Linked DNA regions of Zea mays. The protein of the gene in region 2 binds, or shares a complex with, the protein of the main gene of each other region. Links are inferred from orthologs where the notes say so. Each region holds a gene or a part of one and is shown on either strand. Other genes may lie near its edges. The genes, in order: Exosome complex component RRP41 homolog and Exosome complex component RRP4 homolog-like.

The links.
Region 1: Exosome complex component RRP4 homolog-like (region 2) and Exosome complex component RRP41 homolog share a complex: the UniProt entries of both Arabidopsis thaliana proteins name them as parts of the RNA exosome complex. The link is inferred for Zea mays from reciprocal best matches to the Arabidopsis thaliana genes RRP4 and RRP41.

The regions. Positions count from the first base shown.
Region 1 is NC_050103.1:68,997,688-69,013,977, forward strand, and holds Exosome complex component RRP41 homolog, read right to left. Parts: upstream 8,541-16,290; 5' UTR 8,486-8,540; coding exon 8,429-8,485; intron 8,349-8,428; coding exon 8,302-8,348; intron 8,172-8,301; coding exon 8,111-8,171; intron 7,625-8,110; coding exon 7,583-7,624; intron 7,502-7,582; coding exon 7,434-7,501; intron 5,880-7,433; coding exon 5,801-5,879; intron 5,727-5,800; coding exon 5,690-5,726; intron 4,813-5,689; coding exon 4,696-4,812; intron 4,611-4,695; coding exon 4,525-4,610; intron 4,349-4,524; coding exon 4,259-4,348; intron 4,144-4,258; coding exon 4,099-4,143; 3' UTR 3,642-4,098; downstream 1-3,641. UniProt on the Arabidopsis thaliana protein: Non-catalytic component of the RNA exosome complex which has 3'->5' exoribonuclease activity and participates in a multitude of cellular RNA processing, maturation and degradation events.
Region 2 is NC_050097.1:3,984,011-4,000,282, reverse strand, and holds Exosome complex component RRP4 homolog-like, read left to right. Parts: upstream 1-5,551; 5' UTR 5,552-5,631; coding exon 5,632-5,786; intron 5,787-5,893; coding exon 5,894-5,995; intron 5,996-6,343; coding exon 6,344-6,389; intron 6,390-6,772; coding exon 6,773-6,862; intron 6,863-7,232; coding exon 7,233-7,298; intron 7,299-8,135; coding exon 8,136-8,204; intron 8,205-8,587; coding exon 8,588-9,019; 3' UTR 9,020-9,387; downstream 9,388-16,272. Other genes in the region: protein FAR1-RELATED SEQUENCE 5-like, read left to right, coding at 15,846-16,272. UniProt on the Arabidopsis thaliana protein: Non-catalytic component of the RNA exosome complex which has 3'->5' exoribonuclease activity and participates in a multitude of cellular RNA processing, maturation and degradation events.

The DNA.
Region 1 (16,290 bases), on a different chromosome or scaffold from region 2:
TTTTTCCAAACTTTACATTTTACTTGATAAATTCAATAGTATGTTGGTTTCAGTAATCTCATTACACTATTATAGTATAGAGAATACATTATAGAGAATGCATACATCCCTAGATTCCTCAGCTGGCTATAGTTGGTTACTCTGTGAGCCTTATAAACATATATGCCTCAAAGTGGATGAGCAATTGGGTAGTTCATTTTCTGGCTGGTTGCTTCCAATTGCCAAGCATAAGATGTATGGAGGAGAGTGTAGCAGAATGGACATAGTACAAGATTACAGTGGTATACAAGAAATTGTCATCCTATTATCCTAAAAAATATTAGTTTATTAGACTACTGAGGGTACCCAAATGAGACAGGAAAAGGGCTCCATCTAGATGAAAAATCTGAGCAGAGAAATATAAGTATCGTCCTTCATTTAGATGAAAAATATGAGCAGAGAAATATAAGTGCATAAATATCATTTTATATACATTGAAGTGGTCAATTCAGTAGCTACGACACACATCAGGTACGAAGAAACTTACTCTACAACTGCAACACCACCAATATCGGATCACCGGCCCACAACCTATATGCAGTATACTATTCATACCAATAGCAAGCACCAAAAAAAGAATTTGCTGTCTACCGGAAGCAGCAGACAGCGTGTTGAAGCCGAGCAACAATGCTAATGCGATAAGGACAGGGGTCAGTAGTACCTAGGGGCCTCGGAGCCCTGCTGCTTCTTGCCGCCGCCGTGATGGCACTTGTCCTTGATCCATTGGAACCCCTGCGACATTCCCTCTTTCACCTTCCTCATGCCGGTGGTCGCAGCCGCCTTGGTCTTCTGCCCCACGTCGCCGCCTGCCGGCAGAAATCAGAAAGGGAACATATCGATTCGAAAAGGAAACTATGAGGTGCTCATGGCCTCACGCCAACCGTGGCCCCGGGCTGCCCCACTGCCTGCACCCATGGCCCCTCCCCCATCCCCGTCGGTGGATTCGGAGCCACCACCAGTACCATGAACATCAGGATCAAGAAAGAAATGACTCTAGTTCAAGAACCCTAGCTAAAGTGAGAGGGACCAACCGGAGAGAAGCTTGCCGGTGCAGTAGAGTTTGCTAGCGGCGGGGAAGATGTTGCCGTCGCCGCTGACGCTCAGCAGCACCTCGTCTCTCGCTTGCGCCACCGCCGCTCAGCAGCATCTCATCTCTCGCTTGCGCCGCCGCTGCTCTTCTTCGTGTCACCCGCTTCGGATTTGTTTCCAGGCCCTTCGGGTCGTGGCTCCAATCCAGTACCTTCTCTAGCCAAAAAAATTTCCAAACCTATGGGCTAAAATTCTAGTGGGCTTAAACGAACATAAAAAAAAATTAGAAACCGGGATTTCTACTGGGGTCGGATTTCAACCTGGATTGCCCCCCAATCCAGACCGAACCCGGCCTGGTTGGGCACAACCGAACGGAGCCTAACAGAGGCCGGATTAGTGGCCCAAAACAGGCATAACTGGTCGACCATAGCCCCTAGTCGGACGACTAATTGCGATTAGTCGGCGACTAAGACGACTAATCGCTACCTAGTTGCTCTAGTCGAGTCGGAGACCCTGATTGAGCTCGGACTAGCGATAAGGCAGACTAATCGTGATTAGTCGGACGACTTTAAAACCTTGCTCCTGCATGTTTGATGGAAAAACGCACTACTCTGGTTTTTAAATATATGATGTTTAGGACAAGGCATGTCCTAAACCTCATTTATTTAAAAACCAGATTTCAATATGCGGGAAAGAACTCCTGAACTTTAAGCTAATAACATGTGAAAGTAACGTAAATAGAAAAATGCTGTCCAGCCAAGATGAATTGCACTTGTTGGAAACACTGTACTTGTTGTATTTGATGCTTTGCACTTGTAACAGTCGGGCCTAGTGGCGTCGCTATTCTAAATTTGTAATATCGGATTTATGTTTACTATCATTTTGCGTGGATATGGCAGTGCACTAGGAACTGCAGCATATCCAGTATACTGAGTGCTATTAAACTTCTATTATTCTGTTTTAACTGTTATTTTCTTTTTATTGTAATTTCGCTTGTCCTCGTTTGACCTTTTCTTGCGCCCCTTTAGATCTTGCTGGTTTTTGTGGGTTTTATCTCTTTTTATTTATGTGTTTCCCCGTTTCATCGTTTTTCGGTTCTCCTTCGTCTTTGTCTCCCTTTTCTTTTCTTTGGGGTTGAGCTCTGAGGTTTTCATATGGGATTTCATCTCTAACCTACCCCCAACGTGCTTGGGACAAAAAAACTTTGTTGTTGTTGTTGTTGTTCTCTTGCACTCGTTTGGGGTGTACATGTACTGCCAAAACAGTGAAGTGACCGCCATGGAACAACTTCTTTCTGCTTTGGATTGTGACAACCATCCGTCTGCCATTTGATAGCTCTGACAAGGTATCTAATGGCTACTGTTTTTTTTTTCAGACAAATGGAACTGGGTGATAAGGCGGTCGGTTTTCTGCTGACTCTGACAAGCTTAACCTTATTTACATACTACACATTCTGGGTCATCATTTTGGTTAGTGGCTTCCAAGCTCCCCACCCCCCCTCAGTTTCAGACCAAGTAGAACTACTATGACTTCGTTTCTAAATGGTTATATCTTGTTCCTACCTAGCCATTTGTCGACAGCGACCACTTTGTGCACAAGTACTTCCTGCCTCAAGAGTATGCGATTTTGATACCGGTACTGGCCGGCGTGGTTCTCCTTTCGTTCTTGAGCGTGTTTGTGGGCCTTGTGATGCTCAAATCGAAGAAGAAGAAGACGGCTTAATCGGGTTTGCCATGTACACTGCTGTGTCATTCACTTAGTGTGATGAAATGCATGAGTTCGCAGTATCTAATTGCTAGAAGCTCGGTTCTGTAATCAGTTCCGTCATACTTTAAAGGTCTTTACTTTGTCATCTGGATGTGTGTTTTTTTTATTCTGGTGGTCAATTAAAAGCAGTGTTCATCAAAACTCTAGTTAGAGGTCACATATCGTTAGCCATTATTCGGACCGAACAGCATTTTGAAGAGTGAACGATTGACAGTGGCTAAAAGACGACCGCTCACTCATCCTCTTCACAGCTGTCGGGTTGGTATCCAAGCGCTGATGATGCAGAGGCAAGATTCTGGCGTGCAAAAAAAAACTGAGAGTTGTTCTGTTCGTTGTGGGTAGCATCGATTGTGCAATTTCAGTGGTTACCGGATTAGTTAGGTTAAACTGAGAATTTTTAGAGTATATATGACAACTCAAGTCCGCCCCCACCTTTTCCAGCGCCGGCAAGGTCCAGCTCCCGGAGGCGAGGAAAGCAGCGGCCAAAGAGTGACACTGATCAGAGACAGAAGTCTTGAGGACTCCAGATCCAAGGATAAGCACAAGGTGGCTGTGAACTAGCAAGGGAGGGGTTTTGTAGGCCCTTTTACAGGCACTGCCACACAAAAAAAAAAAATCTAGTAACAGCTTACGGAGAGTTAGCAATACATCGTCGCCTTCAATTTATCAGTTTCAGTAGGGTCTCGGATCTCCCCGTGTTTTCGTTGGTGCTGTTTGGGGGTGGAGGCAATAACGAAGTAGTGTAGCACTACGGCACGCCCGCAAATGCTTCTACAAAAACCCCACAATCTGGGAGGGAGTGATTTAGGAGGCAGGAGCCCCGCTGGATCTCTCTCTCTGCATTAGTTTACAGGAACTGTCACACAAATTCCAATAACACCATACGGAAGATTATCAGTACAGTTCCACCATCGATTTATATCAGTTTACAGGAACCGAAAAATTCCGATAACACCTTACTGAGGAAGCATGTCTTGTATCCCTGGTGATGATGACAAACAAGCTGCCTTGAACAACTTCTGACGACTTGCACATACTCCGTTGGAAGTTCCTGTGCACTGCACTAGAGCCAGCCACCCACAACCACAACCAGTAAGCCTTTTAATGGGCTGTGTGATGTCCGTTGTTGGGTAGGTTCAGGTCATCAACCTGCCTGCACTGCCTTGTACGGAGATAAACCGTAGAACAATACAGTTAGTTTTACCCCGCCAGCCAGACTTCAAGCGTAGAACAGACTGGGCAAGTGGGATTCACCTCCTAAGGTTAACCACGCTGACACTCAAGCTTCTTTGTATTCTCCAATAGCACCTGTTCCAGAACGATAGTCAACAACCCAGAAGTTCCAACGTGTCAATGGCAGGTCCTAAGTCCATGCAAACAGAAAACAAAACAAGTAACGGAAGATCAACAAAAACTTGTTTACCTCTCGGATGTAAGTTGCAATTGCTTTGCACCCTTCTATTGCAAGTCCCATTACATTTTCAAATGTATCAATTGGTAATTTTGCATCCATCTGAAAAAGGCATTTTTTTAAGCTGCTTCCTTCTGATGCTAACAAAAGAATAATACTATGCAGAAATCAAACACAAAGGAAGTATTTCACAAGAGAGCAAAACTGAAGCATATAATACGATTGCGCCTAGAGACAGAGAATTGAGGCGGCAAGAATGTGATTCATGATCTTTCTACCTGAAGCAAAGTCACTTTGTCCATCTTTGCAAGAATGCCAACAGTGACATCAGAACCCCCAGCACTGTCTTCGAGGTAATTCAGATCTGGCATAGTACATTAGAATTGTTTGACTTTTATTTATACCATAAGATTACTGTTAAAGATATGAAAATTAGGAAGGTGTCTTACCGAGCAAAGGAGTAGAACACAGATAACCAGCACTACATGATGTGGCAATGTCTCGCATTGGAATCCCAGCATCTGCAAGAGCTAGTGTTGCAGCATTTATGCAAGCTGACCTTGTTCCTGTTGTACACATGGTCATGGTCAACATGACAATAATCTTGAAGCACAAATTATGGTTAAATTATTTCCAAGAAGCGAAAGAATAATATGCTATAGCATGACTGGATAATATATGTTAAATTATTTTCAAGAAGCAAAAGAATAATATGTCATACAACAACAAAGACTTTTATCCCAAGCTTGTTGGGGTATGCTAGAGTTAAAACCCAATAGAAACCACAAGTCATGGTTCGGGTACATGTATAGTTGTTTGTCATGCACTCCTTACACAAGGCTAGATCTTTGGATATATCCCATCCTTTCAAGCCCCTTTTTACCGCCTCTTTCCATGTCAACTTCGGTCTTCTCCTTCCTCTCTTCTCATTACTATCGCTCCTTAGAATCCCCTTACGCAGTAGTGTATATGGAGTTCTCCGTTTGACATGCCCAAACCATCTTAACCGATGTTAGATAAGCTTTTCTTCAATTGGTTCTACCACTAGCCTATCACGTATATCGTCGCTTCGGACTCGATCCATTTTTGTATGGCCACAGATCCAACAAAACATAAGTACTTCGGCAACACTTATCTACTAAACATGTCGTCTTTAGCATGAGTAGTAATAGACTAAGATAGCAAAGAATAATATGCTATATTGGGTAATGTAGCTAAGTATAAAAGGCACACAACATAATTGGTTACATTTCCCAGATTGTCTCATCATGCAAACCATAAATCTAGATCTACTCAGGCCACGGGAAAAATGCTCTTCCTTGACCTCATTTTAGTACATAACAAAAAACAAACTTTGTTCCAGAATAAATAATAGAGGTTCTGAGAGTGAATACGCCTGGAAGCAACTTCAACAATCAGAAAGTAGGAAAGCAGAACACCTACCACCATCAGCTTGAAGAACTTGGACATATATATCAATCTGCAAAAAAGTATAATAAGCATTGGAAGTTGGCCCTGATATCATATAAAACTGAAGTTTTTCAAAGGACCGACCTGTGAGTGTGGCATTAAATGTGTTAATATGCTTGCCTCCATTGTCTGTCGAATAACAAGAGAAATTTCTGTTGATCGCCTGTAAGATGATTGTAGTGTTAGTTCAGTATCATAGTTATATGGGATATGAAACACCATGTACCTTCAAGCTGAATCCACTTAAGTTCACTACAGTTCATGCAGCTTATATCGATTTTGCACACTAGGTGTTCACCCCAACAGCAACTAAAGCAAGTCAACTAAATTATACTGCAGAAATGCAACACTGTTTGTTACACCGGATGCTACTCATGAAATTCCTGGTCTTAACCATGGCCTATTTTTTTTATGGAAACAGGAGCGTCACACCCCTAAAGATTAATATATTAGAACATAGAGAAAAATAAGTTCATAAGTACAACACAAAGGGAGAAAAAGGAACAAAAAGAGAAAGGGACTAAGAAACGGATAAGATCAAGGTACTGAACACGACTTATATTACTGATATGGCTTGGAACTGAAAAATTAGGCAAATATAGTTAGAGGCAAGTTCACCCTCTCAAGAGGCGGAAACCAGGTTAGATGAATTAGGGAGAGCTGTTTGCTTGACAAACTCAATAGACGATGCCTTTGAGATCTCAGTGCCTAAGAAACCAATCTAACAAACATGCTAAATTTCCTAAGAAGAAACAAAACAAACCAATCACCAATCTCATGACTAATCATCTGTTACAGCTGTCAACACTGCCAGTGTTATTAAAACTACGTTTAAACGTAGTTTAAACGTCAAAATTCTAATTAGAGGTTGAAACCGTATTTTGGTGTTCTAAACTGTAAAACGCAGTGTTTCATGCGTTTTAGACCATTAGCTACTTTTGGGTCCAGTCTGTTAGTTACTTTTGGGGTCCAATCCAGCTCATGGGTGAAGTTTTGGTAATCCATAAACCTCTCTGTTTTGGTATTTAATTTCATGTTATTGTCTGAAATTATGATATATTGGTATTTTTCCTATGTTGTCTAAACGTTTAAAAGTCAAAACTTCACCCATGAGTGTTTCAACGTTTTATCGTTTTAATAACCTTGGACACTGCACACTGGGATGGATGAACATGTCAGGCTTCCAGTGACACTAGCAAAGTGCCCGTAAGTTGCTACAATTTTCATTTATGCTTGAGTATAGAGTATAAAACACAAAGACATGTGTGTTCTTTGGCTAGGTGGGTGTGAATGTGAGTTTGGAGCCAGCAACCATAGTTCAAATTCTCATTTGTGCATAATTTTATCTTTTTCGATTTAAATGTGGGGGAGCACGACGACAGTAAAAAACCGTGGAACCGTGGAAACTGATGCTTAATATAGTAAATAGAAAGAGATTGGCATGTGAGGCCTACAAAGCCATCCACAACTATTATACTGTTACAAAAACATCTGACACCCATACATTCACTGAGGATTGTTTACTGTATTGGGAAAGTCAATTGTGATCCCAAAAACACAGGATTCAGAGAAAAGAAGCTTGTTGATAAGGTAGAGAAATAAAACACATTTGCAACATCGGAAATCTTTCCTGATAGTAAGTGAACCAAATGCTGTGAATGCCCAAGGATGGACTTTTCTTTTAATCAAATTTTACTGTGTTCAAGTTGGAAAGTACCTGTCACCCTTCGGTTTTCTCCTCCGATCTCCTGTACTAAACTCTGCCATCCTGTACTCACAACGAACCTGCATACAGAACTCCCTCAGGAACACAGCACAAAGAACAGCCTCTAACAAAATAATGCACTTGGAGGAGTGAAACTTTACCAAAGCCTCCTTGCTGTTTACTTGCTGACCTTTGTTCTGAACCTGAAAGAGCAATCAAAGAGCATGAACTTGTTATTTGGTTACACTGAAAAGTAAATTGAAGGTACAACAAAGCAATAGAAGGTGAAGCCCCCTGGTGTTTAGTAGTCTGACAGGAAGTAAAGAACATGAGTGATTGAAATCTCCATAATTCCAAGTTCTCCAGTACATCTCAGGAATGAACATTGTGTACGTATAAACAAATAATGTGCTACTGGCAATAGGCCAGTATGGATCCTAGTGGTTTTCACACTGTTCATGCATATAGAAAATTTAAACAATAGGCAAGTCAGTTTTTCCAAATGATCCCCAATTTCACTAGGAAAAACTACTGAAGATTAGATCAAAGTCGATGTTGGTTCAGAGAATTCGACCGACCATATAGTACACGAGTAAATGGAAACCCCCTCTAAGAGGCATTTCCTCAAACACGCAGTGCACATGACTCTGGTGGACACCGAGATACACAAGTAGGATAACGGGAATCACCTCTCGCGGGCCGTAGACGGCGGCGATGACTCTGGTGTTGCCCATCTCGAACAGCGCCGACCTGCGCAGAGCAACAAACACCAGCAGAACCGATCAAAAGTGAGCACCGTACCGCCGTCCCAACCCTTATCGAATAGCTAGCTGTTCGTTTCAACCCAGTCCATCAGAGTCGGGAGAGATTCTTAACTCACCCGTCTGCGCGCGCAACGACGCCGACCTCGCCCTTGAGTTGCCGCATCTGCGTGATGTCCAGCACCGGGTGAGATAGGGCTGTTCGCGTGAACCGCGCGTAGGGGAAAGCGGGCGAGGATGCATCACCTCGTTGGGGCGGCGGCCGTCGACGCGGAAGCCGGTGAGGGGGTTCACGTACTCCATCGCCGGAATCGCCGCTGTATCTCCGTGTCCGAACGACGCGCCGCACCGAGGTGAGCGAACAAGTGAGGCGAGCGAGGGTTTTTGTTGGGTTTTCTCAGAGAAGAGAGTCGTGCTGTCCCATCGCCGTGCCCCTGGAGGCCTGCACCCGCGGTGTCCCTGTCACCCGAGCCTTTTTTTTGTCGAGCCTGAAGGCGGAAATTTGGATCTCAACTACCCAAGCCCAACTCTATTCAGAGTCCCCAAGCCCAACTCTATTCAGGTCTGTTTGGGTGTACGCTTGAATTGTGTTCATGAAAATGGAGGTCCAATTCCATAGCCAATTGTATTGGAAATGTTGTGACATCGATTAACTTGACATCGAGACACCATAAAAGAACATACACCATAAAGTCTCGTAAAGTGCTACTAAGGGACCGGGACCCACTAGGCCCTAGGGCCTCTGATGCCTTAGGGCCTCCCCTTGTCCTTAGTGCCTCTTGGGTCCCATTTGCTCCGAAGGATTCAAGTGCTCAGAACAACTCATCACTCGGAACATCGAACACTTAACACCACTTAGATGTTTGGGGGCTCTCTGCTGGTCCCAAGGTCCCTAAGAGCATCTCTAATAGCTCTCCAGAAAACGACTCCTCAAAATCAGTTTTAAGGGACATCTAAATAATTAGTGGGGGTAGATTTTAATCATTTCTCCAATAGATCCATTAAAGCGACAGATTGTTTCTGGAGAGCCAAAAAACTCCTCATTTGTAGCTACAAATGAGAGAGTTTTAAGGGCTATAAAAATGTTGGGAGCGCTTTAGGGGAACCGTTGGAGACACATTTTTGTGTTTTTTCAAAAAAATTGGATTTAGGGGAGACTTTTGGGGAGTTATTGGAGATGCTCTAAGAGCAACTCCAATAGTTATGTAAATTTTAGCTCTCTAAATCACAGATTTAAGAAGTTGCTAAATAACTTTGGGAGTAAAAAATGTGAGTTCTCCAATAGTTCTCTAAATATAGGTTGTAGTTTTGTTTTGTATCTATCCACATAAAAAAATAAAAGTCACAAATGTCATCAATTACCTTCATTATCTACATAATGCAGCAAACATTTTTGTTTAGGGAGTTGCTAAACGATTGCCAAATGTAGAGATGAAATAAGGTTAGATGAGAAGTTGTTAAATTTAGAAAGTTCATTTAGAGAACTGTTGGAGATGAGTTTTTGTGTTAACTACTTAAATTGTTGATTTAGGAAGTCTATTAGAGAACTACTGGAGTTGCTCTAAGGTCCTCACCCTCTCATTATGTGAGCGAACATGCTCTAAACCCTTTGAGACCCAAAGCCTTGTGGGAACAAGGGACTTGATGCGAACTAAGTACAATCCTGTCATAAGGCTGAAGGATGTGTCTAGACCCACTAAGGACATTACAACCCTGAGGTCGAGACCCCCAATTAAAAGGTCTTCTAATAAGTCTATAGCGGTTGTTTATTGAATAAGTATTAGGTGTGATGTGCGCCATTACAGCCCTGAAAAGCGCGGTGTTGCCATGACTTAGGTTGTAGGGTACTCGAGACCACTATATAGTATCTGCATTGACCATGTCGCCACACATACGCATGTAGATGTACCATAAAGAATTATCAAGTATGGAAGGTTACACTTACTGCCAACTACATCTTACTAAATAACATGGGCTCGATGTCCGTGGATATGACATTCATAACCTCCCCTACGATAGGTATGTCATGAGACTACTAAAGGACATCTTTGACAATATGCCATGACCAAAGGCATGACCTTGAGTATGAATCCAAGAACATGATAAGGACGAAACATTTGGGCTTTAGTCAGTGGAATTCGAGGTCCATGTAACATCTCTCCTCCCTTACACTATAAAAGGAGGGGCAAAGTAACATTTAGGCCTTCTTCGGTTGCATAGGGATTGAAGGAGGTTGAGGGGGATTAAATCTCCTTCTATTCAATTTTGAATAGAAAGGGATTTAATCTCCTACAATCCCCTCCTACTTGAACAAGCCCTTAGAGGGATCCAAGATCGATAAAGAGTTAGACCTAGGGACTGAAGGACGATAAAGGGTAAGACCCTGTGATTCAAGATTGATAAAGGGTTAGACCCAAGGGATTCACAGGTTCTTCCAAGGTCGATTCAAAGTTGGTAGAATTCACTCTCCATATAGGGCAAGCATAAAGGTGGATTGGGACCATTAGGCTATAACCTCCATCGTAACCAAGAAGTGAGGGGAGCTAGAAGGTCTTGATACTCGGTTATGTATGAGCGTGTAATATTCATCATTATGTTCATCAATCAATTAGCAAGAGAACATAGGGTATTACATGCACTATGGTATAAACCTTTCTAATTATCCATGTGTTGGATCCTAGTTGTGCTTAGATTCGGCATGACCGTCGACCTATACCCCCTCTCTCTATAAACTATCTTTTTAGTACTCTTTATACCTTAATGTTATCATGCAACAATAACAACCAATGTCACCATTTGCTAACTATAAAGCTACATGACATTCTTAAAGAACCTCGAAATATATTATACAACAAATAAAGAATAATATTCTTTATTTTTAAAAAATGCCTAAAATATTTATCATGCAACACACTTGTCACATTTCTCTATTTCTATCAAAGAATTTTATTCACATCATATATCAATAAAGAAGTATTATATTCCAAAATCTTACTTTTTCATGACATGAAACACACATTTAATTGCTTCATAGCAAAAAATTGCAACCAGATAAATTATTAAATATACTATTTAATCAATTTAATCAAGAATATGTAGTCTTATGATTCAGGGTAAGGGAACAATCCTTGATCTATTTGATCACATATTATTTATTAGTTTATAGAACCAATATTGGTTCTCAAATTCAAGACCATGCATCAAACTCATACAATTTCACTTTGTAAAATGTTGGAACCACCATCATATTGAATGATTGGACTAGACACTTCTATGAGTTCTAGGATTATAGCTTCAAGTCAAGATCAAGTTCTTGTGGGTCATAATTGAAGTTCTTGCTGGTGGACTCCTCCAATAGGTTCCCATCGTCCTTCCTTTTCATGTCAATATGATCATATTCCTATAAATATTAGAAGTTAGAACACACCCATTATCACTAAGCTTGATAGCCTATGTATTTGAATACCATGCACATGTTCACTGTCTAGGACTTTCGAGTAATTCAGTGTTAAGGGGCATTTTTTCTTAGTGTTGTGCATATATCATTGAACATATATTTCATAAAGCTACCCATGGTAGGAAAAAATATTGCACAAATATTTCATAATAATTCTACCGAAAATGATGGTTTAAATTTGGTCTAGACAAATAAGGACCAAGAGCAAAATACATACCATATGATTAGGTGCTTCAAAGAGATGCAGTTGTGTAGGAATCATGCTGTTTGGATTGACATAAGATGACCTTATCATAGGAATCTTGAACCGTTCACTCATCTCTTCTCTTCTTGTTCCATACATCATCTACAATAAATAGAAGAGGTCCAATCGTGATCCACATAGGAGACACCATTGTATACAATGCTAAGGTCATCATAGTAAGGGAGAAATGTTATTGGTATTGCACATGCAAAGTTTGTACAAGTTTATAAAAATGGCGCTTTTAGGTTTGAATAGATGTAACAATAGAAGGCTCATACAACGCAAAGTTCGAAATATTTGGGCATTGCATTGAAGCATGAATACAAGGCTAGTAATAAGACCTCAATGGGTAGTGGGGCAACATTTCAACCCCTTTCCTTAATACCAAAAATCTATAACAAAATCATCTAGCCTTGAAAAATACCATTTCTATCTCTAATTATGATGTATGCTAGCCTTAGAATATATGTGTCATTGTCACATATGATGATTTTCTCCGATAAAATAGTTTCTGTGATGGGTACCTTTTACCTAAAATGCATGCAAGAAGATCCTTGTTGTAGTGATACATACATATTCACATAATGCCAAAAAATACAAAGTTGTTGGTAGATAAATGAAGAAGTAGCATAAGCAAAATAATATAACAATCATTATATATATGTCAATTCTCATAAATGTGCTTCAAAGAAAAGAAGGTAATCCATGACATGATATAAGACACAATGCTATAGTAAAAATCACACGAATGGATAATATCCTTACAATTGTGCTTACCAAGCCTTGGATGCCAACTCTATGAATTGGTGACGGACTATGGGTGTCTTCAAAATACTCTTTTATTTCCTCTTCTATTCTCATCCTTTCTAGCTTGGCAATCCCAAACCCTCTTTTTCTTTCCTTTGGCTTGGTAGGGGTGCTTTTAGCAATCCTTCTACGCTTCTTAGGCAAAGACGAGGCTATTTCTTCCTCTTTGTTGCAATCACTTGAACTATTTTTATCCATTTGCGCCTACATATATCAAATCATATGCAAAAGATATAAGTTAGCATGTATTGTATATGCAAAAGCAAATCTACAAGTAGAGGGAAGACTTTTGATACATACACAACAATAATTAGAAAAGTATGCTCCCCAATACTATTTTCACTTGTGGTCTTGAGGACCTCCGTAATATAGTGGCACCATGCATATATATTGCTATGAAGTAAATGTTCATAATTTATTTCTTGCAATCTTTTTTTCTCCTCATAAATGCATATATTCATATGAGATCTTTTATTCATGCATTGTATATTTGTAGATAGTGTGGTCCCTTGTAAGTTAGATTGATCTAATAAATATAAATATCAACATATACCTAGATATATCTAGTGCAATAAATGTGGTTATGTATTTTGGATAAATAAAGGAGATTAATAGTGTATATGGAGACTGAAATAATGGCCAAGCGTCCCATTCTTATTTTGATATATCAAGTAATAAATGTTTGCATCACCATGTTCACTATATTTTGATTTCCCCACGATCCTTTGAAATCCATGTATATTTGGACAATAATATGTGCAATAATTCTAATGAATTATAACTAACAACCCCATGGGATTTTTTTGAAACTATTGTAGCAAATAGTGTCTTTCCCATGGATTTTGAATTAGGCAAGATTGTGTAGCTTATATATTAAAAGAATGATCCCTAACATTTATTTAGTTCAATACTCTTGAATATGCACTACTCTATTTTTCTTTTAATCTACGGATGTGAAATTTATTAAACCACAAATGAGATCCAACTAGAGTTGATAGGACGTAGGGTATGAAAGCCAAATGATAGATGGCGGGACATCTACTAGTAACCATATGCTAAATGCTAGTATATGAACTACTTATGTTGGTGCCTAGCCCACTACCATGGGTTGTGTTTGGTTCCCCTGACTAAAATTTAGTACGTGTCACATCATACGTTTGAATATTAATTAGGAGTATGAAATATGGACTTAATTAAGTTTAGTAAATTTGTATCATCTTTTAGTCTTCATCTATATAATTAGTTTTATAATTAGACTATATTTAATATCCGTAATTACCATTTAAATATTTGATATAACAAGAGCTAAATTTTAGCTTATAGGGTAACAAGACATGGGGTTAAACTCAATCTCATGGCTAGGGCTGAACACAGTGAACCAAATGTTAAAAGCCAAACGGAAGATCTAGGACAGAAACCTAAACCAAAAATTGGTTAATTTGGTTTTCAACCTCGGTTAACCTAATTACCCGAAAGAACCAAAATTTTCTTAGGGGGCGTTTTTTTTATGAGTTATGATTATGATGCCAGGTAGCTTGCCGGTCAAGCATTCATTCCAGGAAGCTTCAGTGGGTCTCCATACGCCAACAAATGCTCTTAAAAGTGTACGCTATCCACACCAAAATGTAACATGTAAGGCTATATACAACAACTTATCTATTTCTATACCCACATTCAAACTACACTTGACAAACAACGTATTTTACAGTGTAAAACAATGTTTTGGGTGACCATATGAGTGATATGTTCGATACGATCTAACACGACTTGTGGTTTGTAACACTGCCTCCAAAAATCGAACTCGTGGCTCAGGCCTAAAAAGAACTCTCCAGTTCATCCGGCATGGCATGTGATGCGAGTACGGGTGATAATGAGCTCTAATTTTACACTATAAAATTTAAGAATCAGATCGAATCAAGATCATATTAGGATCAGACTCTATTTTTATTCATTTTTAAATTAAATTTTAGGAGGTCAATAAACAAATAATGAAAAGACATTTGGATCATAATCCATTACCACCTCACATGTGAGAGGATCAGAGGAACGACCTGCGCACGCCCGTAGCAGCAACCGCAATTTCGACCGGCTTCGGCGAGCGTATTCCGCGGCTTTTGGGTAGACCAGTGATCGATGAGCCGCCAAAGGACTCTGTCCTCCTACTTGTACGAGTAGCTTTAGAGGATGTTTCTCAAAGGGAAATAGCCTCAACTATTTACTATAATCGATTTTGGTGTTTGACGACCATCACAAATCTTATGGACTAACTAGTTTGCCTAGTGATCATTTCTTAGGTGCATAAAGTTCATATACATCAATTCTAAGTCAACTATTTGAAATACCATCGATTATTTCGGACAAGAGAAGTGTTTTGGAAATTCTCCTGAGCGCGGACCGTCCTGGCCCTTGCGGCGAACCGTCCGCGACACCAGGGAAAGCCTCGGACAGGAACACTGCAAAAACAAGTGTTAACACTACTGACTGTCCGAAGGAAAATCATGCACCGTTCGGGACCAAGCACGGACCGTCCGGCCTCAGGCGCAGACCGTCCGACCGTTGAAAAATCCAGAAAAACCTGAAGGTGACGGGTTCGGTAAAATGAATTTTTAGCGTCCTCGCGGACCGTTCAGGGTGCACAACTAGACCATCCGCGACTGCACTGTCTGATATCTGACGACACATTTAATGCACTTGTAGTCGTTGATATAGCCGTTACTGCTGACCGTTGCGATTCCAGTCGGTGATGTACAGGGGCGGACCGTCCGGACCAGGAGCGAGGACTGCCCGCGGTCGACAGAAAAGGAGCAACATTTAGGAAGTGGTTGGTGGCTATAAATACAACCACAACCACCTCCATTCGCAACATCCAAGCACTCCACTCATATACATTCAATACAAGAGCTAGCAATCCATTCCAAGACACATTCAAAGCTTCCAATCTCTCAAAGTCCCACAATTAAGACAAGTGATCAATAGTGTTTAGTGACTTGAGAGAGTGTGATACGTGTTTCATTTGTTGCTCTTGTTGCTTGGCTTTTGTAATCGTGCTTTCTTCATCTCCTTCTAAACTCTCTAGTGACTTGTAAAGCTAGCAAGAGACACCTAAGTGTGTGGTGATCCTTGCGGGGTCTTTGTGATCCTTGAGATTGAGAAGAAGCACTCAATCGGTCTGAGTGATCAATTGATAGAGGGAAATGGTTGAAAAAGACCCGACCTTTGTGGCCTCCTCAACGGGGAGTACGTTCTGAAAGGGAAATGGGCTTAACCATTTCCTATAATCGATTTTGGTCTTTGACGACCATCACAAACCATATGTACTAACTAGTTTGTCTAGTGGATATTTTTCTCAGGTGCATAAAGTTCACATAAACATACAAAGAAAATGACCTTGGGGGAATTCTACATGGTTGGAGCAAAACAGATTGGTGCAGCCTGTGGCGCACCGGACACTGTCCGGTGCCCTGGCTGGAGCACCTCGTGAATTGGCTGCTCTCGGGTTTTCTCAGCGCTCCTCCACTACAATTCATCGTATTGTCCGGTGTGCCACCGGACTGTCCAGTGAGACAACGAAGCAACAGTCAACTTCGCCCAACGGTTGAC
Region 2 (16,272 bases):
GGCAAAAGACTAAAGGAAAGAATGGTTGTGTAGTGTGCGTCGATGGAACTGCTTCCATGTACCTTAAATCATCCAAGAAGTTGGTGTTCATGGGACACAGACGGTTCTTGATGAAGCAGCATAAGTACCGAAAGATGAAAGCGGAATTTAACAATCAACTGGAAAGTGAAGGTGCACCAAAGCCTTATAGTGGGAAACTTGTTTTTAAAATTGTAAAGAACAATCATGTTGTATTCGGAAAGGGAAAAAACAAAGGAGAAAAGAGAAAGAGAACTGACCCTTCAACTTACACAACTTTCAAGAAGCAATCAATTTTTTTCAAGTACCTCCCATACTGGAAGGATATGGAAATTTGCCACATCATTGATTTGATGCATGTAACAAAAAATGTTTTTGACAACATCATTGGAACCTTGCTGGGCATGCCGAGTAAGACAAAAGACGGACTCAAATCACGCAATGATCTAGTAGATCTTCAAATAAGACCGGAACTTCATCCAGTGGATAGTGGCAAAGGGAAGCCTTACCTCCCCCCAGCTAGCTACAACTTGTCAGTTGAGGAGAGAACAAAGATTTGCAAATGTTTGCGTGGGGTCAAAGTGCCCACAGGTTTCTCATCCAATATCAGCAGACTAGTCAGGATGAAGGACTTGTCTCTATTTGGCTACAACTCTCATGACTGCCATGTGATGATGACGGTGTTCCTCCTAATTGCGGTAAGAGCCCTCGAAACAGAGCATGTCAAAGTTGTCATCACACGCTTGTGTTACTTTTTCAATGCGGTTTCACAAAAAGTAATAGCTTTAGAAGACTTGGACTATCTAAAGGCATACATCATCGAGACTATGTGCAAGCTTGAAATGTGTTTTCCTCCATCATTTTTTGATATACAAGTACACCTAATCATACATCTCGTGGATCAGATAAAAATATTAGAGCCACTATATTTACATCATATGTTTCAGTTGGAGCGATACCTGGGATTATTAAAAGGTTATGTGCGAAATCGCGCTCACCCAGAGGGTTCAATCATGGAGGGATACACTACAGAAGAAGTGATTGAGAGCTGTATAGATTACATCAGTGACGGAACAATGATAGGTGTGCCTGTACCTAAACATGAGGGTAAACTATGTGGGAGAGGGAGAATGGGCAAGAAAACTTTTCGCGTTGAGGATTACAAGCTAGTACATTGTGCTCATGGTAGTGTACTACAACATCTCACGATAGCCGAGCCTTACATAGAGGAACACCTGGATGAGCTTCGTAAAGAAAATCAGAACCGCACAGAGGACTGGATCATGAGGGAGCACAAACATCGTTTCAGCGAATGGTTAATGGACAAAAACATCCCATTCGGAGACTCTTTGGAAGAGAAAACAATGAAGAATTTGGCTTCTGGGCCATCGTGTTTTGTGACATCATGGCAAGCATATGACATCAATGGGTACACATTCTACACTAAATCAAAAGACATGAAAAGTGTTGCACAAAATAGCGGTGTTCGTATCGATGCTTTTGACCTACATGGACAGAAGACCACATATTTTGGATTCATAGAGGAAATATGGGAACTTGATTATGGCCCAAGCATGAAAATACCCTTATTTAAGTGCCAATGGGTACAACATCCCGTGGGGGTGATAGTGGATAACTACGGACTCACACTGGTAGACTTAAAGAAAGTAGGATATAAAGATGACATGTGGGTTCTCGCCGAATGTGTTGCACAAGTGTTCTATGTACTCGATCCAGCAGATGAGAAGATGCATGTAGTTATTTCTGGAAAGCAAAAAATTGTTGGAGTTGAGAATGTGGGAGACCAAGATGAGGAATACAATAAGTATGAAGAGATGTTCGTCTTTAACGGTCCAGAGAGAATCAAGCGTGTGGAAAAGAAAATTGATAAGAACTTAAAGCCATACATGCGGAAAAATGGTAGTTCATGAAAAAATGTATGAATCAAATTGTATTTGTTATCATGTATGATCGACTATGAATTGTGGTTGCCAATTAATTTAAAATCTCTCTAGTTATCTATGTGTGCTATTATAATTCATTTAAATTGTATTTGCATATTATTGTTAAAAATTAAATATTAATTCATTTAAATTGTTTTTGCATATTTCTGTTAAAAATTAAATATTAATTCATTTAAATTGTATTTGCATATTTCTGTTAAAAATTTAAATTATTTTCATATTTAAATTGTATTTTCATATTTTTACAATAACAGACGGTTTTTTCTTAGGGTCCGTTTGTGAAAAGGATAGAGCACCACAGGCGGTCCTAAACAAAAACCGCTTGTGATACTATTACATCACAGGTGTACTGAACCGCCTGGGACATCACAAGCGGTTTCTAACCGAACCGCCTGTGATGTAAAAAAGCCTACCGCTTGTATAGAGCCAAATTGTACTAGTGCAAACGGGGCTCACGCCTCCACTCGGATCACCCGTTAACAACTCATCGTAGACACCATGCCCATTGTCCGTCAAGGGTAGCATGGCTCTTTCTCCCTCTTCCTCCTTGCGGAAAGGCGACGAAGACTCATATCATTAAAAAGTCAAGGAGTTCCCTGATCACCCTCTCGCCCTGTGTAGAGGCTCGGGGGCTGCCCTTGCACACATGTTGTGGTAGAACTGTTGGAAAGTCCAGCAACCTAACGAAGAGACTCGGGGCTGCCTTTGCACATAGGCCACGACCATGTGACGAACGAATGACAAGTCAATAATACCTACGGAGGGAAAATAAAGACCTCGAATGAGTCAACCACTCCTTCGAGGCCTCGGGGGCTACACCCGACGGGTGTGCTCGTGCACACCCATCAGAAATAAGTCTACCATATCTTTAGGGTTAAGCAACATACCTACACAAAGACGGAAAAACCCCAAGCAAGTGCCAACACTTCCTTGGAGGCTCGGGGGACACGCATCCGAGCCCCATACCCTGGCCTCGGCTCTCTGCTCGGTCAAAGATGCAAATACAGGGATCAAACATCCTCCTCCTGGCTCAAGTCAACAACAAGTACAAAGGCCATACCAAATACCATACCGGCTACAGCCTATAGGGGCTCAAACACATCTCCGCTCCCATACGCGACAAACCATGGCGCTCGTGGAGGCCCTCCTTGAGGCTATAAATAGAGGAGCCCAGGGCTTCACTAGGGGGGGCACTTCACAATTTTTCACCTCCACAACTGATATTGACACTTGCCTCAATCACGAGGGATTTGTGAACTTCTCCATCTCCCGACGGACTTGTATCCCTTACTACAGACACTTAGGTACAAGTAATATAAGTTTCATCCCTCTTTGCTATAAGTAGGGTCTTCTTCTGCCCGAACTATGATAAAGATTTGTGTCTTCTTGCACCACTATGAGGGCTTGTGCACGCAACACTAATCTCTACAATAGTAACTTTGAGTATATTCTTGAGACGCCAATATGGCCACGTATTGGCAAAACAAGGAATCATAGGATAGAGCCTTAACGGTAGATCGTGAGAATAGAAGATGGCCACATAACTACCAAAAAAATAAAAAAGAAAGGAACCGGCTATAGAACTTCCTTGGCTTACCACGGGTACACCGTACACCTCCTAGAAATATCCTTGGCCTTATAAACAATAAAAAAGAAAGACCATACGATTAATTAGGAAGAGTCGTTTGTTTCTTTCAGCATGGCCTCATAAACAATAAAAAAATGGATCATACGAAGAGCCACCGCTTGCTTCTTTCAGTAGAGACACAACTATTTGAAGAGCCGCTTGCTGTTACACATCAGGCGAAGGCAAAGGTAACAAAAAAAATGGTTTCCATCTGCGGTAGCTACGCGACCGTGGAGGAGAGCGCCGCCTGTTTATACTTTATACACCTCGACGATCTCGGTGCCCGCTCCCAAATGCTAATAGTTTCCTCTGGGGTGTGATTAAAATTTGATTTCTTCTCTGTTCAGTTCAAGCTAGGGTTAACACTTTTTAATGGGATGATTCAAAACTAATAGTTGCCTTCTTTTTCCCCACTAGATCTGCTCTAGGCTCTAGCTGATGCAGTTCCAACTTGCTGCTACATATATTTTTTCTAAACATTTCTCCCTACTTATCTAACTTCCTACATGCGACACTTTGCTCTTGCTGTTGCCTATCTTTCTCAATTTTATCGTGATAGTTGTGTGGTTCCCTGTCGCTCTCTCCTCTACGCAGATTAGTAAAGGGAAAAAGAACGATAAAATAAAGCACCTAGATTGAACATGATAGCTCACAGATTTATATATTGCATAACAACTGTAAGAGTATATGCTTTATAGTGCCTTTCGGATTGTGTAAATTCAAAAAGCCTTATTCACGTGCGTATATAGATGTTATAAAGAATTAATTAGAGAAGTGGTTATTTTTTGTATTTTAATGTGATTTCTATTTATGATCTGTTCCTGATTTTTTAATTATTATTTCAATCACGACTCTAATATTGAAATGTTAATGTGGATTCTCATTCTAAAGTCTGCAGTATGTGGCCTTTTTAAGTATCGTGTTTATGAGTAGAATCAGTTCATATACAATACGATTAATATCAGCACACAGATTATAGCAATAACGCTACATCTTTTGAGCTATATATAAGCATATAGCTATGGTATCAATCTTATGTTATAAACCAACACAATATAAGTATTGAACTCGAGCATCTTTTTGTTAATATTTTACAAATAAGCTACTAAGGTGGCACTGGAATATCTTAACTAGTACTACAACGCGGCGCGCCGTTTTCTAGTTCACTGGTCGGTAGGATTCTCGGATCAAAATACCGACAGAACTCCTTTCAAGGTTTCACCTTTATCCCATGGTCGGAGAAATTCTTTGTAAAATTAACTCCTAGAATCAGATACAAGATGGATATCCAGATTTAAAAGCGCCACGCCTATTTAAGGGTATGTTTGACAGGACTCTGGTTTGTCCCAACATAGATCTAGCTCTAGTTTTTTTTCTTCTAAAAAAGCAGGTTTTTGGTAGAGCTGAAGCCATTTCGTAAATCGTTTGGCATAAATGATATATCCCAGAGCAAGAGCCATTTCCCTGTATTAAACTGCCAGAGCCAGAGCTAGTGAAGTTACTATTTGTTTTTCTTTTCCGCAGTACAGAAATTAGCTAGCGAACAAATAGCTAGCTAAGTATTAAATAATTTGCTAAATATAACTAATAGCTCAATTATTAGTTAGTCTATTTAAAAGTCTTTAGCTGATTTTAGCAGCTAATTATTAGCTCTAACATATTCAAACACTTTCTATATTTAATACTTATAGTTATTATTTAAATATTTGATAGGGTAGAAACTAATCTACAGAAATATGTGTTTATACCTATCGAAACTAGAATTGCTGTGAAGGTGTTTAAATTTTATGTCGTTCTTTTTTTTTGGCGCCAGCCCGCTGGCGGCCGCGCCCCATACCGTGCTCTGGGCCGCTGCGTGGGTTGTGTCGGTCCATAGCCCAGTTGGCGCCGGGTCGGGTTTTGCTAGGGTTTACTGCTTGTCTTCCTTTCTCGGCAGTCGGCACCTTCGCGGCTTCGCCTGATCGCCTACGCCGCTTCGTCCTGATTCTGATTCTCTGGTGCTCCCAAGAAGAAAGTCAGGGAATGAAGGACCGCCACCTCTCGCTGAACCAGACCCAGCGGGTCCGCCTCGAGGCCGCGCTTCAAGAGCTCCAGTCCGTTGCGCCCGCCGCCGTGTCCGCCGCCGCCGTCACCGTCGCGGACACCATTCCCGTCAATCAAGAGGACAACATCCTCAAGTACAGAGCCTCCCTCACACACACTCTCTCTCTCTCTCTCTCTCTGTTTCTTTCTTCCCCTTCCTGTCCATCCGTAAGCAGCCGATGGGTGGGTGCTCGTGGCGCAGGGGGCATGGGACGTCGGACCAGGACGGGGAGGTGGTTGCGACGCTCTGCGGGGTGGTGGAGCGGGTCAACAAGCTGGTCTACGTCCGCACTCTTCGCGCGAGGTACGCGCGCGGCTCTGATCTGTTACTCTCCAATGGCGTACCTATTCCTCTGCAAACTGTGGATGAATTCGGTCCTGGATTTTTATCAATGCGGGCAAATACACTGAATTGTGTTGTGAACTTGTTATGCTGAATTTAGTGTTTGGTTGATATTTAGCCTGCAAAATCTAGGTTGTTTTTCCTGGATTCGTATATTTGGTGAATAATATTACAAAGCCTATATTTCTTGGCGCTGAAGTAGGTTTACTTGATCTTATTCCCCACACTTATTCATGTTTTTTGTTGAGAAAAATGAACTCACAAGAAAAAAAAACTTAGCCCATTTTGTTCTCTTTGACCCCTCTTCAGATACAAGCCGGAGGTTGGTGATATCATAGTTGGCCGTGTGATTGAGGTGTGTAAATTCATGCTCATTTTTTTTTGCAATACTTGGATGTTCTACATTTAATTGGCATAGAGTTTTTGATCATGAAATCCAGAACATTTTTCCATGTTTTATAAAGTGCAGATATGATAATGTGTTTGCCCAGAGACTGCATAGATCAAACTTATTTTACCTGTATGTCGGTTAAGTTCGTAGGCCGTAGCTCTGACTAATTATAGGTGTTTAATGACCAATGGCCTTTGATGCATGTCCATTCGGCGATCAGAGTAATTAAGCAAGTTTGAATCTTATAGCAGTCATGTTTGTCACTCAAGAATTGAACATTATTTTCTTTATGGTGCAAACAACATACTGCATTTTATACCACAATTAATTGGTTTGTGTTTCTCAAGATTGCTCCTAAGCGATGGAGGTTGGAGATAAATTTTAGCCAAGATGCTGTTCTGATGCTTTCATCTATGAACTTGCCTGATGGTATTCAGGTGCGCTTTTCTGCTTTGCCCTGTAACTCCTTAAAATTGAACAGGGCGACAGGCTATAAACAGTTTGTTTCATATATCATTCTGGAGGATAGATAATACTGAACACTTAGCGGTAAGCACCATCTAAAGTTTTGAGCACAGCATAATCTCTACCATCAGTATGTGCAAGTGCAACACATTAGACAATAGACACCAAGAAATTATTCTATTTCCATGTTTGCTAAAATTATGTAGTGCAAACAGTCTTAATGTTGTGTCAGCTCAAAAGAATTAATGAGTTTTTTATCCTGATTCCCAAGTTCATTACTAATTACACTAGCAATTCCTTGTCCAATATCCAATTAACTACTTTTTCCAATGCCTCTACTAGAGAAGGAGAACTGCTGTTGATGAACTTAATATGCGGAGTATCTTTGAAGAAAATGATGTTATCTGTGTAAGTGTGATACTTGCTCTATTTATTTCAAGCAGTTATTTTGTCTTAGAGCTGGAGTCAACATTTGGGTATAGTGACTTCAAATCTGTTTTTACTTAGGGTGTTGTGCTGACACTTTTTTGCTTCTGTATGACTGCATCTATAATGCCAGCACCACCACCCACAAAGAATGCATGATCAATGTTGCAGTGCCCAATTTTTGTCATTATTATATGTCAAGGAATCATCTTATTTGCTTGCGCTTCCCTGTTTGCAAATGCCTAAGTCCTGGAGCAACTGCTGGTGTTGTTTGTTTGTTGCTTGAGGTTGATGGCATTTTGAGGAATCATTTTTACACTGTTCATTTGTTGATACATTCCATTGTTAATAATCCTGAGGCTTCCGCAAGCTTCAAGGCGCTACTTAAACATCTTTATGGTTTGCTTTTCTATCATACAGTTGAAATTCACCTGACAGTATTTCAACATGAATCTGGCATTCATATTCACTCGACTAGTCTTATAAAGAATGATGCAAGGCACAGTTACCATTGATTGTTCATCTTTGTTAACCATGTTTGCACACCTACACTAGATCTTTCTTATTTGCATAGAAGCCATATGTGTTGTGGACTTGTATGAAAGGACTTCTTTTGTGCTTTCCTCACCTTTCTTCTCTCATGTTGACAAGTTGCAATGTTTTTCCCGCTCATTTCTTAATTCTTGCATTCATCCCCAAGGAACTTTTGTGGCCTCTATCTTTTTATAGTCTGGTGGGCAATCTCTTCCCCCCACCCACACTGTTATGCAAACTGTTTTAAAATAGTATGCTTCTATTTTGCTTGCAATCCATTACCAGGCTGAAGTTCGAGGCTTCCAACATGATGGATCTCTGCACCTACAGGCAAGGAGTGAAAAGTATGGAAAGGTACATGCCAGCTTAGATGACATTATTTGTGCTACTGTACCATTGTACTATTATCAGTATGTCCCTTTTAATGCCTCCAATTTAGCCTTTTGTTATCTGTAAAAGGTAGATGCCTTTAATGTGATTGCAGAAATGGTCTGTGTATATCATTTGGTGCAACAATGCAAGGGAGACTCATGGATGTTTCATAGATGCGCCTTAACCTGCCATGCCTTTAGTCTTTATTATGTTGATGATATCTTAAGTTGGTCTATGATTTGTACGTGTCTGGTCTAGTTAAAGTCTTGTCCTACCCAAAAAAACTATTGCTTTCTGAGACCCATTAGGTTGATGCTGATATGTTTTTTTTGGGGGGGGGGGGGGGTTCTGATTTATTGATGCAGCTGGAGAGGGGTCAATTGCTGATGGTAGCTCCATATTTGGTTAAACGAAAGAAGCAGCATTTTCATCATCTTGAAAAGTACAATGTCGACTTGATTCTTGGTTGCAATGGATTCATCTGGGCTGGTGAGCATGTTGTGGTGGGTGAAAAACCAAAAACGACAGGAGGTCAGCAGGGGTTCAGCACTGAAGCTGAGAATTTCACCCCATTAGAGACAAGGAAGCATATTTGCCGGCTTGCCAATTCTGTACGTGTGCTCTCAGCCCTAGGATTCACTCTGACCGTCGAACTGATAATCGAAACCATGGAAGCAAGTGCGTCATCAAATGTAGAGATAAATGACATGCTCGGGGCTGAGTTTTACGTCCAGACAGCAGAGAGGGAGGCTAAGCGCCGGGCTGATCTGTTGAGAAAGAAGAATGACGCAAGGTGAGTAGGTAGCGCCCTCGTCATTGCTGATTGGGGCTGCCTGATTTGCGGAGAACAGAGCCTGACACGTTGCGTTGCTCCATCCGCATGAGATCTGTAGCAGTGCCATAATACTTATCTGATGGTATCTAAGGCAAAATTAGTTAACATGTTCTATGTACACCTTTACGGGTAGCAATTAGCAAAGATGTAAGGGGTTCTCTCTGCTCTGATGCTGTACATGCATTTGATCATGGTGTCTGGTGCCGGCAGTGTTGTGCCTGGCAGGTCCGCAGGTCTTTGATCCGTTCGTTGCTGAAGTCGATGCACTTCTGAGTTGAAAAACTGGACGTTCTTCCTATTGAATATTCCAGTAACATGAATTATGTTGCCTGAGAAATGTGCAAGGCATTAGCCTGATGGCTATATGAACAATTCATTTAGCCACTCTATAAAGTTGTCACCACAGGGTGTGGAAATCACCAACGCTTTGTGAAAACCTTATCAAGAAGCATTTATATGAGTGCCTGCCTTGGAGTCGAGTTTCAAGTGACCAATTTACACGAGTGCCTTGCCGTCAACAAATCTGGAGTTACTGATCAGGTAGCACCGCGAATACGATCCTTCCAGATATCGGACACAGCGCATAAGGTCGAATCTAGGGATGGCAAGCAGCGGGTCGGGTAAAGTGCGGGTAAGCCATTTACCCGCCCGTCAACATATCCGCGCCTCTAGTGCTTACCTGTGCCCGTGAAAGCTTGCGGATAAAATTTTTGACCCGTACTCACAGGATATCCGCAGATATCGAGCAACCTATTACCGCTAGAAAATATCATACAAGTATGTGGTCATGTTCATTTCACCAAGAACATCAACTTGACAAACATAATATAATGGCAAGGAACATAGTCCACAAACATGATCGATCATCTACAAATATAAATCTCAAACATAAGTCCACAAACATGATCGACTGGGCTGTGTCCTGTGGGCCGGTGGTATAGGGATATTTTGATGGACTAGTAAATTAAGCGGGTAACAGGTAATACCTGCCGGTAAAATTTTATATCCGTCACTTATCCGCGGGTGAGAAGTGTTGCCCGTATCCTTACCCGTGGACGAGATTTTTTATTCGTATCCATGTCCATCGGGTATGAAACCCGTGAATATCCGTGCCCGCGGGCAGAATTGACATCCCTAGTCGAATCGAGCGTCATGCGTGCGGTCTGTGGATGACGGACGGTAGACCCAAATAAATTACTGTCTTCGTGTTGACAAACACGATATAGAGATATGTGACTGCAACATATTAGAGCTTGTTCTATTTTATTTTATTTTAGTCTCGGAAACTAAAACTAAAAATTAAAATAAATTAAAATAAAATAAATGGATAAAAAATTAGTTTCTAGAAACTAAACACTCTCTTATGAGGTGTTTGGTTTAATGAATCACTCTATTCAAAATGAAGTGGTGTATCATGGGTCCATTCCTTAAATTTGGTGGGATGACTCCATTCCACATATTAGTACTAAACAACTAACTTTGAGGAATAAGGTGGTGATAGATTAACTCACTCCATTCCACAAATCAAACAAAAATTTGAAGAGTGAGAAGATGATTGACTACCTCGTTCCTCAAACCAAACACACCATTAATTTTTGCAACATCACCATATTTCCTAGGAAACATAACATAAAAATGTCGCGATTCTAGGAAACATAGCAGAAAATGGTACTCCATTTATTCTTTTTATTTACTAGTGTATTTTGCGCGCCCTTGCGCGCGTGCTGGGTCCATTAACATGGTTTAATGTAAAGAAAGTGTACATGAACATGTATAAGAGTTGTTATGAAGCAAATAAGCATACGGAAACATGCTATGACGTAAGCAAAAGTTGTTGCTTTGCTCTTTTGTGTTTTTTTGTCGGATAAGGCGCCACATGCTTACGAAATTTATAGCTGAATTTGGTTGCTAACCGCATTTGTAATATCAAATGAAATTACAATATATATCAAGTAGCATTTAAGCAGTGTACTCCAATATGCAGTAACAGTGTGTTTCTAGAGGTTGCATAAGTCAATACAGTTTTAGAAATGCTCCAACAGTTGGTTCATATGTACACAAAAGGCTTTTATATTAAAAAGTGATGGAGCTCTTCTAATGCTTGCAAAAAACCAATACCTGTACATACATGAGAAAAGGAGTAAGATTATTTAGGCTGAAAGTGTGTTAAATATGTAACAGGTACAAAGGAGAATAAGAGGAAAACATGAGGATAGTATGCAAAGGATTTTAGACGGTGTTATACCTTCGAGTGCTTCGTGGTGGGCTAGTCGTCTTCATTTTTTGAACCCATAGAATATGGTAGCTCTTTGTTAAGTTGGGTATGCTTCATCTTGTATGCATTGTTATTGTATCAGTATGGAATAGAAGTTGCGGCTGTGAAATTGATGAGTAGACGTTGTTCTCATTTTCTAAGTAATATCTTGTAACACTTACTTTTTTGGAGGCGATGGTAGCTCGAGCTTGGTCAGCTGATCCATGTCTTTGTAGATGACTTGTGAACGATAAGATAAACATTGCTATCTTACTATGGTAGTCCAAAGTGGGAGAGCACTTTTGTGCCGAAGAATTTGTAGGTGTTTAACTTGGAAAACATGTTTTTATCATTTGTTGTAGAGACATTAACAGTATACAGATATCTATCTTCATTAGTATATATAGAAGTTAAGCATGTAAGTACACTGAATTTACCTCTGCACTGCATGGCACATCGGAATATGCTAGAACACATCGAGCCTATTGAATATATTTCATTAGGTTGTATATCTAAGAGTTGATTTGTTAAAGTTACAAATATTTTTAAATAAGAAGCTCTGTACTGTGTTCTGTACACGAAATCACACTTTAAACTAGCAAGCGTGCATAATGCAGTATATTGGTGGAACACATAGACACACTGGTAAGTATCCTAGGCCGAACAGGACATCAAACATTAATCTATTAGTGAACAACCAGCACGAAGGAAAGTAGATCAAAACTAATGCTAATTACCTCAGCAACCAAGCCTCGCCGATAAAGCCACTGAGGTGCAGAGGTATCACTCCACGTGCTTCGATAAAAGAGCAGAAACAAACAGTACATATAAGACGCGGAGCATTTAAACTTAGTTCAAGAAAAGTAACTGTAAAATCACTACGCGCCATGTAGCAGACAACCAGTGCGAATGGAAGCAGCTTAAAACTATAATCAATTGATTCAATTCTTTTGTAGCCACAAAGGATTCTAGCAATTTATGTGGAACACATAATCAACTCTTTTTACACATCAATAGCAATTTAAAGTGATAAAGAATCAACAACTTGATGGTGTAAAAAACATACCTTTTATGTACCCTAAACCCAAATTTGTAAAAGTTCCAGTGAGACATGCCCCGGGGGGGGTGCTGTGGAAAAAAAGAACAACTAATCCTAGATGTGGAAGTAAATCGAACAGCAAGTAGCTGAAAGAATTTGTTTCCTTCTTTTTTACTCGTTTCTTTCCTATGTCCTTTTCTGTAATATAAACAGTAATCCTTAAATTTGGCCTAAAAACCATACTTTGGATAATGGACAACAGGGAATAAGTAGCAAACATTTCCTTACCGTATTGAAAATCGTGGAAAAAGGGTCAAAATCTCGAAGTGAGAGCATGTGGATGAAAATGTGGCTGCGATCTAATATATAAGTAGCAAACATTTCCTTACCATATTGAAAATAACTGTGAATTCAAACTAAGTTGGGCATAATCGAGTGGGATTGAAAACAGGAACAGAGGAAAAGCAGGGAACCGAAACCAGTGTGGGTAAAACCAAACAAAATAGGACAGAAAAGAACTCTTCAAGGTAAAGAAGTTTTAAAAAATATACGTGGGGAACAACGGATTGACCAACCACAAATTTGTAACAGATCATGTGAAGCATGTGCCGGGGACCAAAAAAGGAAAAGGACTACACAAAATAAGACGAACATATTCAAGGTTTGAACTACAAGAACCAGGGATTAAATCAAACACTACTTTGGGAACCTCGAATCCCCTTCGGGATTGGAGGGGATTTGAGTTTCCAAACTAGCCCCAAGTAACAGGGAGGATTTTTTTTTGCCTTGCTTTCCTTACTTTTTCCTGTTACATTAATCCTCAACCTCAAATTTGGGGGAGAAATCGAACAGATTCAAGACTTGAAGTACATGAACCAGGGATTAAATGGAACAACAAGTAACAGTGAGGTTTTTTTCCCTAAACACCAAGTAACAGGGAGGATTTTTTGTCTTGCTTTCCTTACTTTTTCCCTTTGCTATAACATTAGTCCCGAACTTCAAATTTGGGGGAGAAACCAAACAAATTCAAGGCTTGAAGTACAAGAACCAGGGATTAAATCGAACAACAAGTAACAGTGAGGGTTTTTTTCATTGGTATCCTTCCTTTTTCCTTTGTAACATAAACCCTAAACCTTAAATTTGGGGGAGAAATCGTAGCTTGGATAACAGACACAAGGGAGTCAGCAGCAAAGAGCACTAACCGTAACAAAAGTCGGGGAAAAATGAAGTCATTTTGCTGGAGGCGGGGCGATTGACCTTTTACGCCGAAGACACTAGAAGACGGAGACGAAAAGCGGTTGTAGTTTAAGGCGATGAACAAATCCAAAAATCTAAGCGACTGGCAAATCTAGCTGAAGGAACTAGATCTGGTAGAAGCACAAAGCATCAGGGACAAAGAAAACAAACCTTTTTCATAGCCTGACAAAAACAACGGTAGACGAAGCAGGTTGCAGATGAAGACGGAGGGTGTAAATTGAAGAGCAGGGATTTATGGGCCACGGAATCCATCGATCCAAAAAGAATGCAATGAGGTTCCCTATATTTTCAAGGGAAAATGAAATTGCAAAACACTAAAATAACAAAGTCTACACATCGTAGATTCAAGAGCAGAGAGAAACAGTGGGAGGGAAGCGGAATGTTGAATTGACCCCCAAAAAAGAGTGGTCATTTTTGGCGTGTATTTTCCAAATAAAGCTGACTAGATAAAAATGCACAAATCTAGCTGTGGCAAGCCTTTCCACATCTCACATTGAAGTGCAGGGAAGATTAAAATGTGTAAATATATAAGGAAGCAAGAGGAACTTAGAAACCCCAATGAAACAAGCAGCAACTCGACGAGGAAGTGGAGCTGACGAAGAAAGCGATGGATATCACCAAACACTGGAGCAGACGATGAAGGCGACAATAAACGACGTGACTGTGCTGAAGTGAAGTGGACGATCAAAGCGGCAGAAGGTGAAGCAGCTGGCAGAGAGACGAAGGGACTCAGAGAGAGACGAGGCGGAGGGAGCGAGGAGAGGCATGCACTGCACGGGCCAACCATGGAAGTCTCGAGAAGCGGAAGGAGCGAGAAGAGCATATTCCACACGCCACCGATACAGCGATGAATAGAAGCCATTGATTCACAATCCAACGGTGTGAAGAATTTTTGGCGACGTGGATAGCCTCATAGAGGCCATTTCTGTCCTGCTTTAATAATAAAGAAATTGCGTTTTAGTTTAAAAATATACTAGCTGACGATAAATATTCGAGACAGAGGTAATACAATACTAATAAAAACCTTTAAATCAAATTTAAAATAAATTACTCTCATCATCATCATCATAAAATATACATACGTGGCATCGAAAAACATATTTGGATCATATTCTCTAGATAGGAAGAGTTTATCTTTTATTATCATTTTATAAAGAATGTCAAGACCAAGTGCTGTATCAGTGACGGGTGATTTGGTGGATCCAGATTCAGTGCCTTAGCCAAGGTAAGGCACCACGTACCTTGCCCCTCCGTATCTGCCCTCCAACAACGATCCAATGGCTCCTGTCGTGTGTAGGCAAAACAACAGAGGAGACTCCAATTAATACCGAGCCAGGACGCGGTCCTCACTCGCAGCGCGCACAGGCACACGTTTTGCCGCGTTTCGCGCGCTTGTTCTTGCCTGCCGCGCGGGAGCCCTGTGCCGCGCCGCCCGAGAGCCATGTGCGCCGCCGCCCTGGTACCCCTGCGCGCTCCTCGACCCGGTGCTGCGCGTCGTCGATCCAGTAGCCCAACCCTCCGATTTCAGTAAGCTTCCCTTTCTCTTCACTGAATGCTTACCAATTTGAGATTTGAGATTTCAGTAAGCTTCCCTTTCTCTTCATGTGCCATAGTTTTTTCTGTAGCATGTCATGCATTCCATGTGCCATAGATTTCAATAAAAATCGGATTAAGGGAATGGCAGAATTTGGCAAGGGGACACCTCAAATTGGTTTGAGGTTCAAAACTCCAGATGAGGCTTGGCAGTTTTGGGTGGCATATGGGGGGCATACAGGCTTTGATGCGAGGAACAGATACTCAAATGTCAGCAGTTATGATGGTAAGGTTACTTCATGCAGATTTGTTTGTTCCAATGAGGGCCACCGAAGAAAAGGGCAAACTGATCATGTGACCAAGTGTTTTAGAGCTGAAACAAGAACGAGTTGCACATCCCGAATGACTCTCACATTGGATCGAGGGGCAGAAAACTATGAAGTTACTGATGTTATGCTTGAACACAACCACAAGCTTCACTTGCCAGAAACCCGCCACTTGATGGCATCACAGAGGAAAATTTCAGAAGTGCAAGCCTTTGAAATTGAAACTGCAGATGATTCTGGAATCAGGCCAAAAGCTGCACATGATTTGGCTTGCGGTCAAGTAGGTGGACCACTTAATCTTAGCTACACTTGTCGTGATAGGAAAAATTATTTACAAAGCAAACGGTAGAGGGAGTTGGCTTTTGGGCAAGCCGGAAGCATGCTGAAATATTTTCATGACAAAATTTCAGAGAATCCAACATTCCAATATGCTTTGCAAGTGGATTGTGAGGAGCACATAACCAACATATTTTGGGTTGATGCAAAAATGATTCTAGACTATGCACATTTCGGTGATGTTGTCACATTTGACACTACTTTTGGCACAAATAAAGAATATAGGCCATTTGGTGTTTTTCTTGGGCTCAATCAGTTTAGAGAAACCACTATTTTTGGTGCTGCAATTCTCTTTGATGAAATAGAAGCCTCATTTACATGGCTCTTTGAGACCTTTCTAGCTGCCCATAATTATAGGCAACCTAGAACTATTTATACTGATCAAGATGCAGCAATGGGAAAGGCTATACCCAATGTGTTCACGGAATCATATCATGGATTGTGCACCTTTCACATCATGCAAAATGTTG